Linked DNA regions of Cricetulus griseus. The protein of the gene in region 2 interacts with the protein of the main gene of each other region in a pairwise test. Links are inferred from orthologs where the notes say so. Each region holds a gene or a part of one and is shown on either strand. Other genes may lie near its edges. The genes, in order: Znf346 and Tarbp2.

Region 1 (8,088 bases), on a different chromosome or scaffold from region 2:
CTTGTTTCAGTGACGCAGGCAAAACAAAAGGATCAAAAGTTCTATCAATAGTGTGGTCTTGACCCAAATTAGACAACGCATGCGCGCACTTGTGCGCGCGCGCGCGCGCGCACACACACACACACACACATACATACACACACACACACACACACACACAGAGAGAGAGAGAGAAGAGAGAGGACAGAGAGGGGAGAAGAGAGAGAGAGAGAGAGAGAGAGAGAGAGAGAGAGAGAGAGAGAGAGAGAGAGATATCAAAGGCCTCCCACTTTTGACTAATTGCAGCTAGCCTAGGTTAAAAACCTCAGGATTCAAGATGAAAGTGAAGGCTGGACCAACAGTGACAGGGTTAAGGAGGCTAACTGTGAAGTCAGTGCTGGGGAATGGATTCACAGCAGCTGTTAACAGCTTGCTGGACAACACAGCATGTCCTGTTTTGAAGGCTAGCCCCCTGCCTTGAGAACAGGAAGCTTTTGTGGGTCAAAGTGAGCAGGGCATAACCTCAGCCCATGAGAAAGATGGGGAATTAGCGGTCAACTAGCAACACTTAATAGTCAGAGCAGGTGGGTGGTAGTAGGAGAGGCAAGTGACAGAATGCTCACAGTGTGTGTCGGCCTTTGGCACTCCTGATTTACAATTACTGGTCAGGACAAAAGCTGGGGCTAAGAAGCTTCTACAGAAAATCTTCGAGAACAACACAAATGGAAGTAAAGTGAACCCAAGTCTAAGGCCGAATTACAGTGAAGCAGGGTCTAGCAAAGGTTGGCCTCAAACTCCCTATGTAGCTGAGGATGACCTTGAACTTCTAATTTTCCTGCCTCCACCTCCTGAGTGCTGAGATTACAGGTGTGCACCACATCTGGCTTATGTGAGGCTGGGGATGAAAGCCAAACCTTTGTGAACATTAGGAACATTAGAACTCATAGGTATTCTACCAAATGAGTTACATCCCAACTCTTTTGTGGATTTTTCAGGGCTCTTAAAAGCAACCTCTCCAAGTCTGAGGCCTCAGTGAGCATTCTGAAGCACTGCCTGCCATTGGTGCCCCGAGGATGAGAGGGGTCCCAAGAGCACTACTCAGGAAACCAGTACCTGCCCCCTTAGTGGACTGCTGCTTCAGCCTTAAGTTCTTTGCGTGGGTCTTCCCCAGGTAGTGCGACTGAGCCACAACAGGGGAGGAAAAGGTCATGTTACAGATGGGGCAGCAGTGGTTCTTGTCTTTGCTTCTGCTGCTCTTCTGGTTGGGAGAGAGAACACAGGTCTGATCACGCCACTGCGCATCCAGAAAACCTCCAACGTTTCCCCTGCCCGTGGCCTGGTGGACATTTAAGACCCAACACACCTCAACAGTCTTCCCCAGCTGCTCCCTGTCAGGTTCTAGCACGACTTCCCATTTTATTCTGTTCCTTCCTTGCTTTGCTTGGTTTATCCCTACTGGCTAGAATGTTCCTCCACCTTCCTGCCTGGCATTAGGTCTACTATCAGCCTTCAATGACTTTCACTAAAAAAAAAAAAAAAAAAAAAAAAAAAAAACCCAAAAACCAACTGAACACGCACCAAGCCCCCTCCTATGTATATGCAGGAAGAATCAACCTCGATCCCCAGCTGAATTCCCAAAGTCTATCAGATTTCTATTACACCCTCTGTCACTCTGAACGGACAGTGGAACAGCTTAGGAGACTTTTATGCAAGCTCAAGTGCAGTGCTGGGTGTGGACAACTTGACTTATTTTTGCCAACTATCCTGTACTCTATTGTGCCGAGCACACAGTACAAACCCAGGGGTTTTAGCACAAGTTTGTTATCAGGTTCCATTTGTTACTATGGTTATGCTAGAAAGTGTATTTTAATCTTCCCGAAAAGCCTGTCCTCTGAATAAGCTGTTTCTTCAACATTTCTCAACCTTTGAACTGCAGACATTTTGAGTCTAGTAATTCCTAGCTGGTGGTGGGTGCTGTGGTCTCATCTGAGTCACTCAGTCATCTGAAAAACTGAAGTGCAAAGAGGAGAAATGGTCTTTCCTTTTTGGGTCCAAGCCACCAGGGCCACTTGGAAGTGATTTCTCGAGGGGAAGCGAGGTCCCTTTAAACCCCTGGCCACTGTAGCAGAAATGCAGTCTGGAGAGTAACCTCCTACTTATAGAGCGTTTCCTGGGGACTAAAACTTTACTTCCTAATACTAAAGAGGCAAGATCATCTTTATGAGTGAATCTCAGAGAGGTTAAGTGACTTTGAAAGTCACAGTACACTCAAGGAATTACAGCTTGTTCCAGCGTAATTCTTATAGTAATTCTGAGATAAAAAGTAAACGTAATTGCTTTCTAATCAGAGGAGGTATTTATTTTCCTTGATTGTTCAGGCCAAATGCTGAGAGTCTGTTTTCCCCACAGCTAAAGAAAATGAGCGCCGGGGCATCTCTCTATGTCCTCTCTTGCTCTGCTTCAATAACCCTCTGGGTGGCAAAGCAGAACAATGAATGATTCTATTTACTGAACCACTACTGTATGACAGATTCAGGGTCTGGTGCTGTTTTATAAATATTTTCTCAACTTACAACCCCCCCCCCAAGGTAGCTATAATGGTCTTTTTTGTTTGTTTTGAGACATTCTCTCATTGTAGCTCAGGTTGGCCTCAAACTTGCTATGCAGCGGAAGACAACCTTCAACTAATCATCTTCCTGCCTCTACCTTCAAGTGCTTGGTCACATCACATGTACACACCACCATGTTCAGAGTATTCCTGTTTTTAACAGAGGAAGAAATCAAGGCTCGGAGTCATAGACTTGCCCAAGTTAGACAACAGGGCTGAGACTGGCAGCCAAGGCAGTCAGAATCAAAGCCTGTGCTCACAACAAACCAATCTGCTTGGGATGCAAGCAGGCTCAACAATGCAGCTACATTACCTGATCTGAGTCGAGTCTCTTCACCTCCCCTTTTAGTGTCTCCATTCCATGGATTGCTAGGTATCTCTTCACTTTGTTGGCATGTTTTTTGCTCTGCAAGAACCCAAGAGAAAGATCAAAGATAGTCAAAGGCCAATCATTTCACAGAGAGGGCAGCCATGACACACCAGATTCTCACCGTCCATTTCACAGAGAGGGCAGCCATGACACACCAAATTCTCACTGTCCATTTCACAGAGAGGGCAGCCGTGACATACCAGATTCTCACCATCCATTTCACAGAGAGGGCAGCCGTGACACACCAGATTCTCACCACCCATTTCACAGAGAGGGCAGCCATAATACACCAGATTCTCACCACCCATTTCACAGAGAGGGCAGCCGTGACACACCAGATTCTCACCATCCATTTCACAGAGAGGGCAGCCGTGACATACCAGATTCTCACCACCCATTTCACAGAGAGGGCAGCCGTGACACACCAGATTCTCACCATCCATTTCACAGAGAGGGCAGCCGTGACATACCAGATTCTCACCATCCATTTCACAGAGAGGGCAGCCATGACACACCAGATTCTCACCATCCATTTCACAGAGAGGGCAGCCATGACACACCAGATTCTGAAGAAATGGGGGAAGAAAACTCATTTGCTGAGTTCCTATTATGTAGTAGGCCCCTCTACAGGCTATCACATTTAACCTTCGAAAATCTATGAGAATACTGTTGTCTATTGTACACATGGAAAAGCTCAGGCCAATCATGGTGAAACTTCCTGCTTATAAGATAGCATAACAGAGTTGGCTTCAAACTCAGATGTACGTAAAGCCAAAAGTCATTCTTTCCACATTTGATCCTGATTTGGTCGGGAGAGATGAGACTCACAGAAATTAAGTTCACTTCACGTCCCAAGCAAACATGCATGAAGGAAACATGTGGTCGCTATGGAAGACTGTGTGAGGCAGGAGAGGAGAGGGCTGGCACTGGACGGCAAGGCAAGCATGGCTATGATAGAGGCCTACCTGGTAGTGTGCCAGCTTCTGGGACTCAGAGATCAGCATGGCGCAGCAGACTTTGCACTGGGTGCTGGTGAAGAGACACTGGTTCTTCTGGATCATGTACTCCACTGTGGAGGGAAAGAGATCATGCAGGTGAGTCCAACAGCACTGCCTCTGGTCTCTCCCAAACACAGGCACCAATGATGGAGCCCAGACCAGCACACAGGCACATCTCCGCTCTTCCTCGCACCAAGCCATGACTCATGCTGTGCTTGCAAACCAACTGCATTGTGACTTCCTTCATATAGGCCAGTGTTCTTTACCTAGTCTCACATGGCTGTTAGGAGAGATGCCCCACGCTTCGCAAGAATTCCTGGCTCAAGGGATCCTTCTGCCTTAGTAGGTGTGACTACAGGGTCACACCCCCATTCACGTTAACCCTTTAAAACAATGTGGAGCTGAGGACTTCTTATGAAGCAGTTTTAAAGGAGCATGAAGAGATGCACACCTTTAATAACAACACTCAAGTGGCAGAGGCAGGTGAATCTCTGAGCACAAGGCCAGCCTGGTCTCCAGAGTGAGTGTGGGGCTTACACACCAGGCTGTGCAGGGCTATATAGTGAGCTCCTGTCTCCAATAACATTAATAGCAGTTTTAATGTAGACCGAAGGAGAGAGAGCCATTTAGGAAAAGGACAATACACACTATGGTGGCTTCAAAGGAAATGGCCCCCAGAGGGAATGGCACTATTAAGAGGTGTGGCCTTGTTGGAGGAAGTATGTCACTGTGGAGGCAGGCTTCAGGGTCTCACTAATGCTCAAGCCACACCCAGTGAAGGCAGTCCACTTCCTGTTGCCTTCTGATCAAGATGGAACCAGCACCGTGTCTGTCTGTTTGCACGCTGCCACGCTGTACCATGATGGTAATGGACTGAACCTCTGAAGACGTCAGCCAACCCAATTAAATATTTTTCCTTTATAATAGTTGGCTGTGGTAATGGTGTCTCTTCACAGTAATGGAATCCCTAACTAAAAAACACACCCAAGACATGGATGTGCTTCCCTTATTAGATAATTCTATAATTGAGTTTAAAAAATTACTTTATTTCATGTGTATGGGTATTTTGCTTTCATGCATGTCTGAGCCATGGAGGCCAGAAAAGGGCATTGGGTCCCAGGGAAATGGAGTTAGAGGCAGTTGTGGATTGCCAAGTGGATTCCCGAAATCAAACCTGGATACTTTGCCAGAGCAGCCAGTGCTTTAAAGTGCCCTGGAACTTGCTATGTACACATCAGGTTGGCCTAGACTCACAGAGCCAAGCCTGCTTCTGCCTCTGAGTGTTGGATTAAAGGCACAGGGCACCACACCCGATAGTAGCAGCCATTCCAAGTAACTGCACAGTGTGAAAGCAGCAATCCAATTGCTTCTCACTGCTGGAAGGTAACCTTTCGGCCTAGTGTGTACTGGCCTCCATAGAGGAAGAACACAAGCATGGGCCTGCATTCCTGAGAGTCCAGGAAAGGATCCCGATACAGGAAACCCTGATGCTCTGTATGAAGTCCTAGCTGAACAGAAAGGGTTTCTAAGAAGCTGGCCCAACCAAAAACCAGTACCCAGATGTGGAGGTTTTCAGTTTTAGGTGTCTTTGAACAACTTCACCTTTACTTTTAACTTTTTTTTTTTTTAAAAGAAGATTTATTTATTTATTTTGTATACATTGTTCTGCCTGCATGTATGCCTACAGGCCAGAAGAGGGAGCCAGATGTCATCACAGATGGTTGTGAGCCACCATGTGGTTGCTGGGAATTGAACTCAGGACCTCTGGAAGAGCAGCCAATGCTCTTAACCTCTGAGCCATCTCTCCAGTCCCTACTTTTAACTTTTTAAATCAGACGTGACCAAATCAAGATGGTTAGACTTGTTGACATCCCTACTTCCCAATGCATAGGGACCTGAAGTGTTAGGTAAGCTTTCTACCATCCAGCCCCAGCTCTGAGACAAAACTTGTCTCTACCCCCTTTTCCCCCTGCTCACAAAATGGATCGTGTGCCTCTTAATGCTAAGGTGACCACTCAGTACTCTCCTTCTGAGGCAGACAGACGGGGGGGGGGGGGGCGAGGCAGACAGATGGACACACACAGAGGAAAGAGCTTTTGCCACTGAGTCGTCGGCTGTATGAACACACACGAGTGCATGCGAGCGCGCTTGCGCGCACGCACACACACACACACACACACACACACACACACACACACACAGGAACGAGTCTTCGCCACCAAGTCATCATTGGCTGTGTGAACTCATCACCCTCTGCAGCTGCTTTCTCTACCAGTGTCATCCACTGCACTTCGGGTCAACCACTGCTGAGAAACCATTCACGGCTCATATGTAAAACTTAAGAATGTTTACGTTATTTTATACCGTTGTTTTGGGGGACTTTCTCTGGCCAGCCTCCTATGGCCATGGCTGGCAGTGTGTGGACCTTTCAGAGCTGCTCCCGGGAGTCTGTGAAAGCTTTGGCAGTGGGTGAATTTTTCTCTCTTTGGAGAAAGAGAACATCATAGTGCACTTGTCTTCTGTTTTTTTTTCTTTGATCTATTTTTAATTGTGGTGTTTGTGTGTCTGTCTGTGAGAACATGAGTGTGACCCAGGTACCTCAGCAGTTGAGAGCCACATGGTATGGGTGCTGGTAACCAAAATCAAGTCCTCTGGAAGAGCAAGACAGTACTTAACTACTGAGCCATCTCTCCAGCTCCAAGTGCAACTATTTTGATACAAAATATTGACAAGAGTCTATTGAAACAAAGAACGAGTCCCTTAAAAAATTAAATAAAATAGCTTGCCCAAATACTGGAGAATTCATATGTAAGGTGGCATAATTTGCCATAGCTAAGCTATGAAGTTAGCTAAATAAATGATTATAGAAAATGTAGGACTGGGGGGTGGAGAGATGGCTCAGTGGTTAAGAGCACTGGCTGCTCTTCCAAAGGTCCTGAGTTCAGTTCCCAGCAACCACATGGTGGCTCACAGCTGCCTGATGCCCTCTTCTGGTGTGCAGATGTACATGCAGATAAAGTGCCCATATACATAAATACATAAATAAATAAATCTTTAAAAAAATGTAGGGCTAATGAAATGGCCCAGGAAGTAAAGGTACTTACTGCCAAACAGGACTACCTGACTTTATTCCTGGAACCCACTTGACAAAAGGAGAACTCAGGGGCTCAAGGGTTAAGAGCACAGGCTGGTCTTTCTGAGGTACTGAGTTCAATTCCCAGCAACCACATGGTGGCTCACACCATCTCTAATGAAATCTTCTGCCCTCTGCTGGTGTGCAGGGGTACATGCCGACAGAACACCACATACACAATCCATTAATCAATCTTAAGGAGAGGAGAGAGCTCCTGCAAGTTGTCGTCTAACTGCCACACATAGCTATGCCAGTTCCACACACAGTGCACATTCACAAATAAAACAAAATGAAAAGAACATAGAAGACATGCTACATACACCCAACAGAACATTATACAGTCACAAAGGACAATGAAATCTGTCATTTGCAGAAAAATGAATAGAACTGCAGGGCATTGTTTTAAGTTAGAAAAGACAGGCAAAGAAAAACAAGCTCCACATGTTCCTTCATATGGTAGAAGCTAATTATGCTTCAAAAGGCACTGTTTATAAAATAAACACAAGAGCTGGTGAGATGGCTCAGTGGGTTAAGGCGCTTGCTGCCAAGGCTGATCTGAACTCCCGAGTCCCATCCCTGGGATCACATGGTAGAGGAAAAACTGACTACTACAAATTGTCCTCTAACCTCCCCACGAGTGCTAGGGCACCCATGTGCCCACACACATGCACATAAATGCCATAAAAAATAAAGAAGATAGCCAGACCTGTGGTGTATGCCTTTAATCCTAGCATTCTATGGTCTGAGGCTGGAGCCCTATCTACACAGAGAGTTCCAGGTCAGCCAGTACAACATAGTGAAACACCCCAAAAGAAGACAATCTTAACAAAATAAAACAAGAAATAAAGACAAGTCACAAAGAAAACATATGTGGACATCATATCTGAAATACAGGATTTGCACCCATAATATAAAATGGCTTATAATTCAGCAATAAAACAAATAACCAAGTTATAACATGAGCAATGACGTGCCTAGATAGTTCATCAAAGCATACAAA
Region 2 (8,584 bases):
CCTCCCTGGTAGTTGCAGAACCATGACACACAGTAGCTGGCTGGGTGGACAGTTCCACTAGGCACTGGCAGAGCCCACTCAAGCTCAGTTCTTCTAGAAACCAAGAAAGAAGAGGGAGGCAATGGGGGAGGGGCACCAAATAGGGTGTATGTCACCCATCTCCTAACCCCTTTATACTTGATCTGGTCCTGCCTCCTCCACCCCCAATCCCCCAGCTGGCCATACCAATGTCCAGGTAGCTGACATGGAAAGCCTGCTCCTCAGAGAGCTCACTGAGGACACTGCAGCAGGCAGAGCCCAGAGTCCCTAGAGAGCCCACAGAGCAGCTCCGAAGGGACAGGATCTTTTCTCCCACAGAATTGCGCAGGGAATCCCAGGTGCAGCCTGGCCCCCGGTTCCGAAGCCCATCCAGGCGGGAGCTCACCCCCTAGTGAGACGAGAGTGAGAAAGTGGTAAGGACTGTGGGGCCTAAGCCTCTGGCTCCCACACTCTAACCCTGCAACCTGCTTCAGTGGCCACTCAGGCTTCCTCACCCCAGTCAAAGTTGCCTACAGGGCTTTGCCCTGGGCAAACTTTCACCAGTAAGTACAGAACAGGTTGAGGCGACTGCTGGGCTCACAAGTTCAAGAAGCCCTGGGATTTGGTAAGAAGCAGGCCAGACTCACTTCCAAATCACAGACCCAACCAAGTCCCCACCATGTCCTGTAGTGTGAACCACATGGAAAGCCCACACAATCCACTTACAATGGAAAAATGATCGTCATCAGGTTCTGCCTCGTTGCCATCCCGGGCGTCCAGGGGTACTGTGTGCACTCGAAGCAGCATTTTAGCTGCTGCATTACGCTTTGCCAGTTTTTTGGAAGTGCCACTGCCTGAGTGTGGGGAAGGGATTGCTGGACTTGGGGATTTTTAACAGACCAATGCTTCCCCTCCAAGTTATTCTTAGATTAAAGGTCCCTCAATGGGGTATCACTGTAAAGAGGAGCTGAAGGCCTGTCCTTTTAACTGAGAAGCTGGTGGGCCAGAAAGAGGGGGAAAGATAGGCAGGGGCAAGGAAGACACAGGGAGTAAGAGCTGAGCAAAGCAAAGAAAGCTGGGATAGAACACAGCTAGACAAAGGAGCACCTTATGCTCAGGGTCAGAGTGTGGCAGAAACAGATGATAAGTAAGCCCCACTGTCCCGTTACCAATTTCAATGAAGCGCTCCACTCGGCAGGTCATGGTGAATTCTTTGCGGTGAGCAGGCCCAGACTCCTGGGTCACCATGTACTCTGGCAAACGCCAGCCTTTTTGCACCACAAGTTCCTTGAAAGGGAGACATAGGGAGCCCAAGGATGAGCGAGGAAAGGCTCCTTAGCCACATGGCCTTCTACCCAGGAGCCTCAGTCTTTGGGTGAGAAGGATAATCACCCCTCCCACAGCACACACACCCATGCCTCACAGCCCTAGTCCAGAGAAGACAGCACACGAGAACCAGAAGACGAGGCACACCTGTAGAGCACCAACAGGGTTGCACTCAGACTGCTGAGGAGAGACAGGGGGCTGCATCTCCATGGGAGGGCTCCTGAAGGAAAAAGAGCCCAGACCAATGCTGAGGAAAACGGGTTCTTCTGGGCTGGTCATGGGCTCGAGTACCAGCCACTACCACCATCTCCCAATTTTCCCACCCAGCAGGCAGCTATATCTGTCCAAATATCTCCCCCCATGAAGCTAGCCCCTGCTAGTTCCCAGGAGCATTTTGATGTGGAAATACTTCAGCAGTATCCCTATGACAGAGGTAAAGGGTCTGTACAGCTAATCCTGGAAGTACCTTCTGGGTCTTAAACACAGAACCTGCTGTAACCAACTCAGAAAATGGAGCCTATAAAATGTTTGAACAATCCAACATCCTTCACATGGCTATTTAAATATCATAAATTACCTATCTCAAGCTTACCAATGAGCTGGTACAAATTTTTTTCAATTCTTCCATTCTGTGTTTACTTAAAGACTTCCTCATCCTAACCTGCCTGGGTCCAAGTGCTATGAGGCTAGGGGCCTGCCTCCCTCCGAGATGTCAGGGAACTCAAGGTACCTGGTTAGTATAGCAGATGGAACAGGGGCAGCAACTTCAGCAGCAATGACAGGAGTGTCCTCGGGCAGTGAAGACTCTAGGAGAGAAAAAGAACTTCCCAAGGGGAAGGGAGCCTTGGATTCACACCCATGTAGAAGGGAATGAGAGTATGAGGTCTTTCTGACCTTTCCATCCCCTGAGAGAATCCCTTCCCCCTGATCTAGACTCAAGAGAGCCTCAGCAACAGCTCTTCCTCCTGGGATCCTCTGCTGACCCACACTGGCTCAAAAGCACTGAGGGTGGGGTAGGGGTAGGGCTCAGAAAACAGAATTTCTTCCTACCCAACAAGCTCCAACCTGAATGTAGAAGAGGGAAAGTCATGTGGCTAGAAAGGGGGCGTTTTGGGACCATCAGCCTTATCAGCCTTAGTCTCCACCCTCTATGGCTTACCCCGGGCCCAGAGTAGCCACCACCCATCAAAGGGGCTATTACCCTAGAAGCACCCTAGAGGAAATTCTCAGGAAGGGGCCAGGTCAGGGTGGCCATGAGTCACCAGGCCTGGATTAGGAAGAGAAGTAGGTGGTGAGGAGGCCTGGTTCTCAGCAGGGCTTCTAGTGTCCCTTGACTGTTCCTCCCTCACCTGCTGTCCTCCAGGGCTGGTTCCAGCATGCTCCCCCCTTTGAGGTGTTTGAGGGCCACCTCAGCTGCCTTGTGCTTGGCTGCCTTCTTGCTGGGGCCCTGACCTAAGAAAAGGGGTGTGGGCAATACTGGAGGTCACCAGCAGGACAGCAGAGAAACCAGCCCCCACAGCCTCTCTCCTTACAGCCAAGGGATTGAACAGCTCGCTTACCAACCTCCCCTGCCAGACTAGAAGGGCTCTGCTGACTGCTCAAATAGTCTTTGTCCTAGTTAGTTTTAACTGTCAACTTGGCACAACCTCGGATCATATGAAAGGAGAGCCTTTATTGAGGAATTGCCTAGCTCAGACTGGCCTTCGAACATGTCTGTGGGAGACTGTCTTGATTGTTAATTGAGGTAGAAATGCTCAACTATTGTGGTACCATCCCTTGCAAGGCAGGTGGCCCTGAATGTGGAAGCACTGGGCATCTGCCATTGTTCCGCTGTGCTTCTGTGGCTGTGAAGTAAGTGCCTTGGTCAGCTGTAATGCTGTGTGGAACAGCAAGCAGGCAGCAAGGATGAGTTTATTCTCTTTGCTCTCTGCTTTGTGGATACCTTCCCCACAATGATGACTGTAAACCAATCAAGCCTTTCCTCCCCTATGCTGCTTTAGTTAAGGTGTTTTATCACAATATAAATGGGCCTAGAGCAGCCCTTAGCTTTCAATTATCTCCCATAATTAAGTCATGTAAGGCAGGATTTGAGCTCCAACACTGGGGAGAGGGGAGGTGTCTTCCTTTTCTCTGCAAAAGCACTTTCTTTTCCCTCAACAAATAAGCAATAGAGACAACAAAGGATCAGTTCTAAAGTCAAAGCTCTACTCTGCCACTTATTAGGGCCAGTCATTTAATTTCTGATACTAAGCCCTCTATGGTCAATATGGGTCAAGAGGCCAGCAAAGTGTGTGTTTGCTCCCCCAAATACCCATGGGTAGTTCAGTGTCTCATCTACTTTTCATCTAAGGTGGTAAGAGCAGCAAATTCCTGTGACATTTCCTGTTCTCACCAGTGAGTCTCTCGGGTCCTATCCACCTTCAGGCAGTGGTTTTTCCCCTGAAACCTCTCCATCCCTCCCTGGCCTTAAAGGAGAGGACTGTGGTGAAGCGATCCCACGATATTAAGCCACGGGCCCTGTGAATGCACACCCCAGCCAGGCTGCCCAAGCCTTCCTCACCAGTGCAGCTGGTGTCGCCAACGGTGACCCGGAAGGTGAAATTAGGCTGATGGGCTTGGCCCTCGGCTTTGAGAAGGTCGTACACGGGCGTCTTTCCTATTCTGGTCCCATACTCCTGAAGAAGGCTGATCGGGGTCTTGCCCGGGTTGGCGGCCAGCATTTGCTCTATGCTGGGAGGGAGGGGCACACACCAATATCACACTTCCCCTTTCGGCACCCACCTGACCAAGCACTGTCACATTAGACCTAGCACATTACTGGGTCCATGGATCCCCAGGCAGTATAGCATCCATTGACTGGGCTAACAGTTAAGTTGCAGGAGGGAAAGCAAGGTCCTCTACCCCAAGGCAAGTGGAAACTGTACTGTTCTCAGTTAAGGCGAGGGAGCCTGTGCCGTAGTGCTGGTTGGACGTGCATTTCCCCCTGGCACAATGGAATTCGGGAACCCAGTACCCACCAAACGCACTGAACATCAGGGCATAAAGCGTAAGGCTCCAGTGCAGTCTGGGAATCAAGCCAACCCCAAACTAGAGCTGGAGGCGGTGGCCACTGACCCAGTGCATGCCGGGAACCTCTGCCCACTACCCCAGTGCTTGCTGGGAACAACCCTCAGGCCAGGTGCATGCTGGGGCTGCGCCGCTACCCTCCGCACCGCCTCACACTTTTCGTCCTGCAGGAATGGAAATTAGGCAGCTCACCTGGGCAGCCCGCAGCCTGTGGTAGTGCCGGAGCCCTGCTCCTCTTCACTCATTCCCTCCTCCGTCCCCGCGGGCGCCACCGTGACTACAGCCTCCACGCGCCCCAGTACACCGCCGACGAGCTAGGGCCGGGGCCAAGCCCGGAGTCGCGGCCGGTAGGGCCCGCCGCGGGGCATGCTGGGATCTGGAGTCCCCCTCCCATCCGACTCCTTGTGTCTTCATCAGGAGTCGAGCTACCCGCCCCACAACTCTCCGCGTGGCTCGCCCGGGCGCCTGCGCCGCCCTCTGGGAGGAGCGGATCCTCCACGGAAGCTTCTCAACCTACCAGTGGTTTTAGTTTTCTAATGTCGTCCCGCCTTCTTCCTTGCGCACTGCCTCCTCCCAGGCCGAGACTGTGAGCATGCGTACTAACGGGGTGGAGGCGGCTGGGGGCGGGGCGGTAAGGCATGCCACCCTCAGAGAACTACAGAGCCCAGGTGCCCGCGCGCCGTCCGGTCGCCGCCGCAGGCTTCGCGGCTTAATCGGCAATGCCGAGAGCGACTTCCCAAGGCGCTTTTCGATTGGTCATCTGGCCCAGAGGGCGGGGACGGGGAAAGGGATAGGCTTCCTGAGGAAGGGTTGTGATTGGCGGAGGAGGCTGCCGGCGTGTTTCTTTTGCTGCCCCAGAGGGTGGGCCTTACCTGGCCGCCCCCGCCCCAGAGCTCTGGGGTTGTTGTAAGTTTTTTTTCAGACACTGTCTCCCCAGGCACCAGTGTGAGTGCCAGGCCCCTCGGGCCTCGTGTCAAAAATCCTGCTGCTTTTGTGTGTGTGTGGTGTGTGTGTGTGTGTCTTGTCCTTCGCCTCTCTTCATTAACTGCACGCAGCCTGTAAGGGTTTGCTACTCCTTAAATAGGCCCTACTGAACCTTTCTTTAACTCTCCGGGAATCTAGGGCCCGAGAATCATTAGATGTACCTTCTGCGGTGTTTTGTAGCCTCAACTGAAAGAACACGAGAGTAATTAACGAACTAAATTACGCGCAGAGCTAAACAAGTACTTTTGGATCCCCAAAGTCTTGATACCACCAGAGTGCAGAATGTGGGGGAAATCTTGTGACCTTGGATAGAGGAAGAAAGAGACAGATACCACGAAAAACGTGATTCAAAGAGTGTTTTCAGAACGGGTCTAGGAAGAGATGTCTTGCTAAGAGGGGATGGGGGCTGGAGGTGGAGGAATCTTGGGGTGATAATCAGGGGTCATCCAGGAGCTCTGAAGTGGGAAAGGCCGCACGACTGGGTGAAACAGAAGCAGTGACAAGGGCAGGCAGACCAGCTGGCGACTTTGGTATGAGAAGGGACCAACGCCAGAGCGTTGTGTGTGCTATCTGAGGAGCTGCTCTCTCGGGGTGTAGGAAAGAGTCTGTAAGACAGGTCACCAGGGGTTCTTACAGAATCTGCATGAGGCCCAAAGTGGGACTGCCGAAGGACACCTCCAGGAAGGAGGCACAGAGCCTCGCGAGCCAGGAACAAGCCTGGAGCGCGCCGGATGGCAGCCGTGGGCTCCTTTAAGAGGCCGGCGGCTCCAGCGCAGCATCCCCCGCTCAGGGCGTGTCCGTCCCGGGGGGCCAGGGGCGGGGGCCTTGCAAGGAGCGGGAGTTCAAGTCGAGAGGGGACGGGGCTTAGAGTAGGGGGTGGGGGGCAAAAGCTGGGGCTGACACCCGTGCACCTGCGCTCCACACGAGCATCGCCGGTGACAGCGCCCCGGGTCTGGTGGAGGGCAACGGGGGGAGGAGGGAAAGAGGAGGAGGAGGCGGGAGCAGCATCCGGAGCCGAGCTGCTGCAGCGCCGCCTTTTGTGCTGCGGCCGCGGAGCCCCCGAGGTGAGAGCCTGGGCGAGTTGTGGGGGTGGGGGGCAGAAATGGGTTCGGGTCTTGGGATCCTGGTGTGGAGGGAGAGTCGGGATACAATTGTGGCATGGTGGGGGAGGAGGTGACTCGCGGATGCTGAGGCTGTGGGATGGAGGAACTGGGGACCTGGACCCGACGCCTGGAGATTGGAAGGAGCGGGGCGAAGCTGAGGGATGCGGCGGCCCAGCTTGGAGACCAAGAGCCTCCAGAGCTGTGGTGGATTACGTGAGGGTGAAGGTGGCCAGGGGAAGACTTAAAGGACAGCGGGCAAGAGCACGTCCTCTTTTCTCCTCACCCTCAAGACCCAGAGAAGGAGAAGGAAGAGTTGTGGCCCTCTCCAGGGAAGGAAAGGAAGGGCAAGGCCTAATGTTCCCACTGTCCCCCTCCCCCACACCTGCACCTATCATGCTCCACCTGGAAATTAGGCTGCACCCATTCCTGCATGCCCTGGCGAGGTTCCTCTCCCCTTCCATTTGTAATGCCGCTAATTTCCAGCTGTGCATTCTCTACCATCCAGCTGTTGCACCCTTCCCCCATTTGTATGTGGCTTTCTCTCTCTCTCCAGCCTGCTCTCCCTGGCTTCCCTAACCTATTTCCCAGGTCAGGTGTTTCAGAAAACCCCTCCCTTTTTTCACACACTCACCAAACTCCTTGGCTTACAACAACCTTGATAGCCGAGGGTGGGCTCCATAAGCAGTAGTAGGAACGGAGGGAGGAGCCTTGCAGCTCTCTATTTGCTGCCTCTTTGGCTTTCTACGGGGAGAGCATGCACATGAGGCCCCGGAGCCACAGTGGGTGCCTCACGCTAAACCTCCTCTCTCTTCCAATTCTCTGGGTTGCCTCCATGGTTCTGGGAGCTCTGGTTTCCAGCCAGAGGGTCATCCCAAGCTTACAATCGCAGCAAGGTTTTGGGAAGGAAGGAACCAACTGCTCCCTGGGCCTTGGGTCCAGAGATTGAAGTTTCCAAGTTCAAAAGCCCTTCCCCCTTTTGTGTAACATTTAAGGAGGTGAAGGTATCTGGGCCCCAAGTTAGCCCCAGCCAACTGTTGGCTTCCAGGAAGACCCCAAGGTCCATCACTCATGAAGTCCTCCATCAGTGGTGGACAGAGGTGGAAGAGGTGTGGCCCAGGATTTCCTAGGCTTCATCACGGTAGCAAAAACCCTCTCAAAGGCGGTCACTGCTCTGAGGATCTGGGGAGGAGTGGTGGTAAGGTGATAGAGGCCCCTGAATTCTAGCGCCCACTTCTGCCTCTGCTGTCCATGTCTAAGGAGTAAGAAAATTGGGGGCACAGCTTTTCTGGGAGTCCTTGAATGGGCGCAAGTAATCTATTGAAAGGATGCCAGCAGAAGACATGGTGGCCTGGGAGAGCTTACCCACTTGCCCCTAGAAAGCCTGGTCATGTGTGCATTGGGAGAGTGGCAACACAGCAGCTCCAGGACAGAGCCCCTGTGCTTCAGCTGTCTTTATTTATTCAGGGTATCAGGAATTGATCCCAGGGCCTTACACGTTCCGGGCAAGCTCTCTACCACCAAACTACATCATCAACTTTTTTTTACAAATTTTATTTTGAGACAGAGTGCCACTAAGTTGACCAGTCAGGTCTTGAACATTAAATCCTTTTGCCTTTGCTTCCTAAATAGCTGGTTGAGGTCTGTACCTGGCAGGCTGCATTTCCTTTGTATTTTTTTTTTCAGCTCTTGTTTCTCCACCTCTCTTTCTTCCTGTATCTTCAGTATTACCTCGTGTTTTGAGGAGGTAAAGGAAGTAAGAATTGAGTATGTTGGCTGGTGCACGTCTTTAATCTCAGCACAATGGAGGCAGGTGGACACAAGTAGGTCTTTGTGAATTTAAGACCAGCCTGGTGTACACAAGTTTCAGGGCAGCCAAGGCTACATATAGAATCTGTCTCAGAAAACTTGAAAAGAAAACACAACTTTGTATCTGGGGGTGTGGCTCAGTTGGTAGAGTTCCTAACATGCATGGAAGAAGCCATGAACAAAGCCTTGAGCTTGATTTCTAGCACTGGGAAAAGCTTTGGTGTGGTGACTCACTTCCCTTACCTTACACTGGGGTAGTAAAGGCAGGAGTAGCAAGTTTA

The links.
Region 1: the proteins of Tarbp2 (region 2) and Znf346 interact in binary tests that used the Homo sapiens proteins (3 or more experiments, as listed by UniProt). The two-hybrid records come from large-scale screens. The link is inferred for Cricetulus griseus from reciprocal best matches to the Homo sapiens genes TARBP2 and ZNF346.

What each region holds. Positions count from the first base shown.
Region 1 is NC_048596.1:274,112,781-274,120,868, reverse strand, and holds part of Znf346 (zinc finger protein 346), read right to left. Parts: intron 4,027-8,088; coding exon 3,923-4,026; intron 2,994-3,922; coding exon 2,901-2,993; intron 1,238-2,900; coding exon 1,093-1,237; intron 1-1,092.
Region 2 is NC_048595.1:398,892,499-398,901,082, reverse strand, and holds the start of Tarbp2 (RISC-loading complex subunit TARBP2), read right to left. Parts: upstream 4,797-8,584; 5' UTR 4,656-4,796; coding exon 4,603-4,655; intron 4,493-4,602; exon of another isoform or gene 4,362-4,492; intron 4,075-4,361; coding exon 3,905-4,074; intron 2,797-3,904; coding exon 2,694-2,796; intron 2,168-2,693; coding exon 2,075-2,167; intron 1,565-2,074; coding exon 1,492-1,564; intron 1,306-1,491; coding exon 1,188-1,305; intron 873-1,187; coding exon 745-872; intron 428-744; coding exon 226-427; intron 94-225; coding exon 1-93. UniProt on the Homo sapiens protein: Required for formation of the RNA induced silencing complex (RISC). Component of the RISC loading complex (RLC), also known as the micro-RNA (miRNA) loading complex (miRLC), which is composed of DICER1, AGO2 and TARBP2.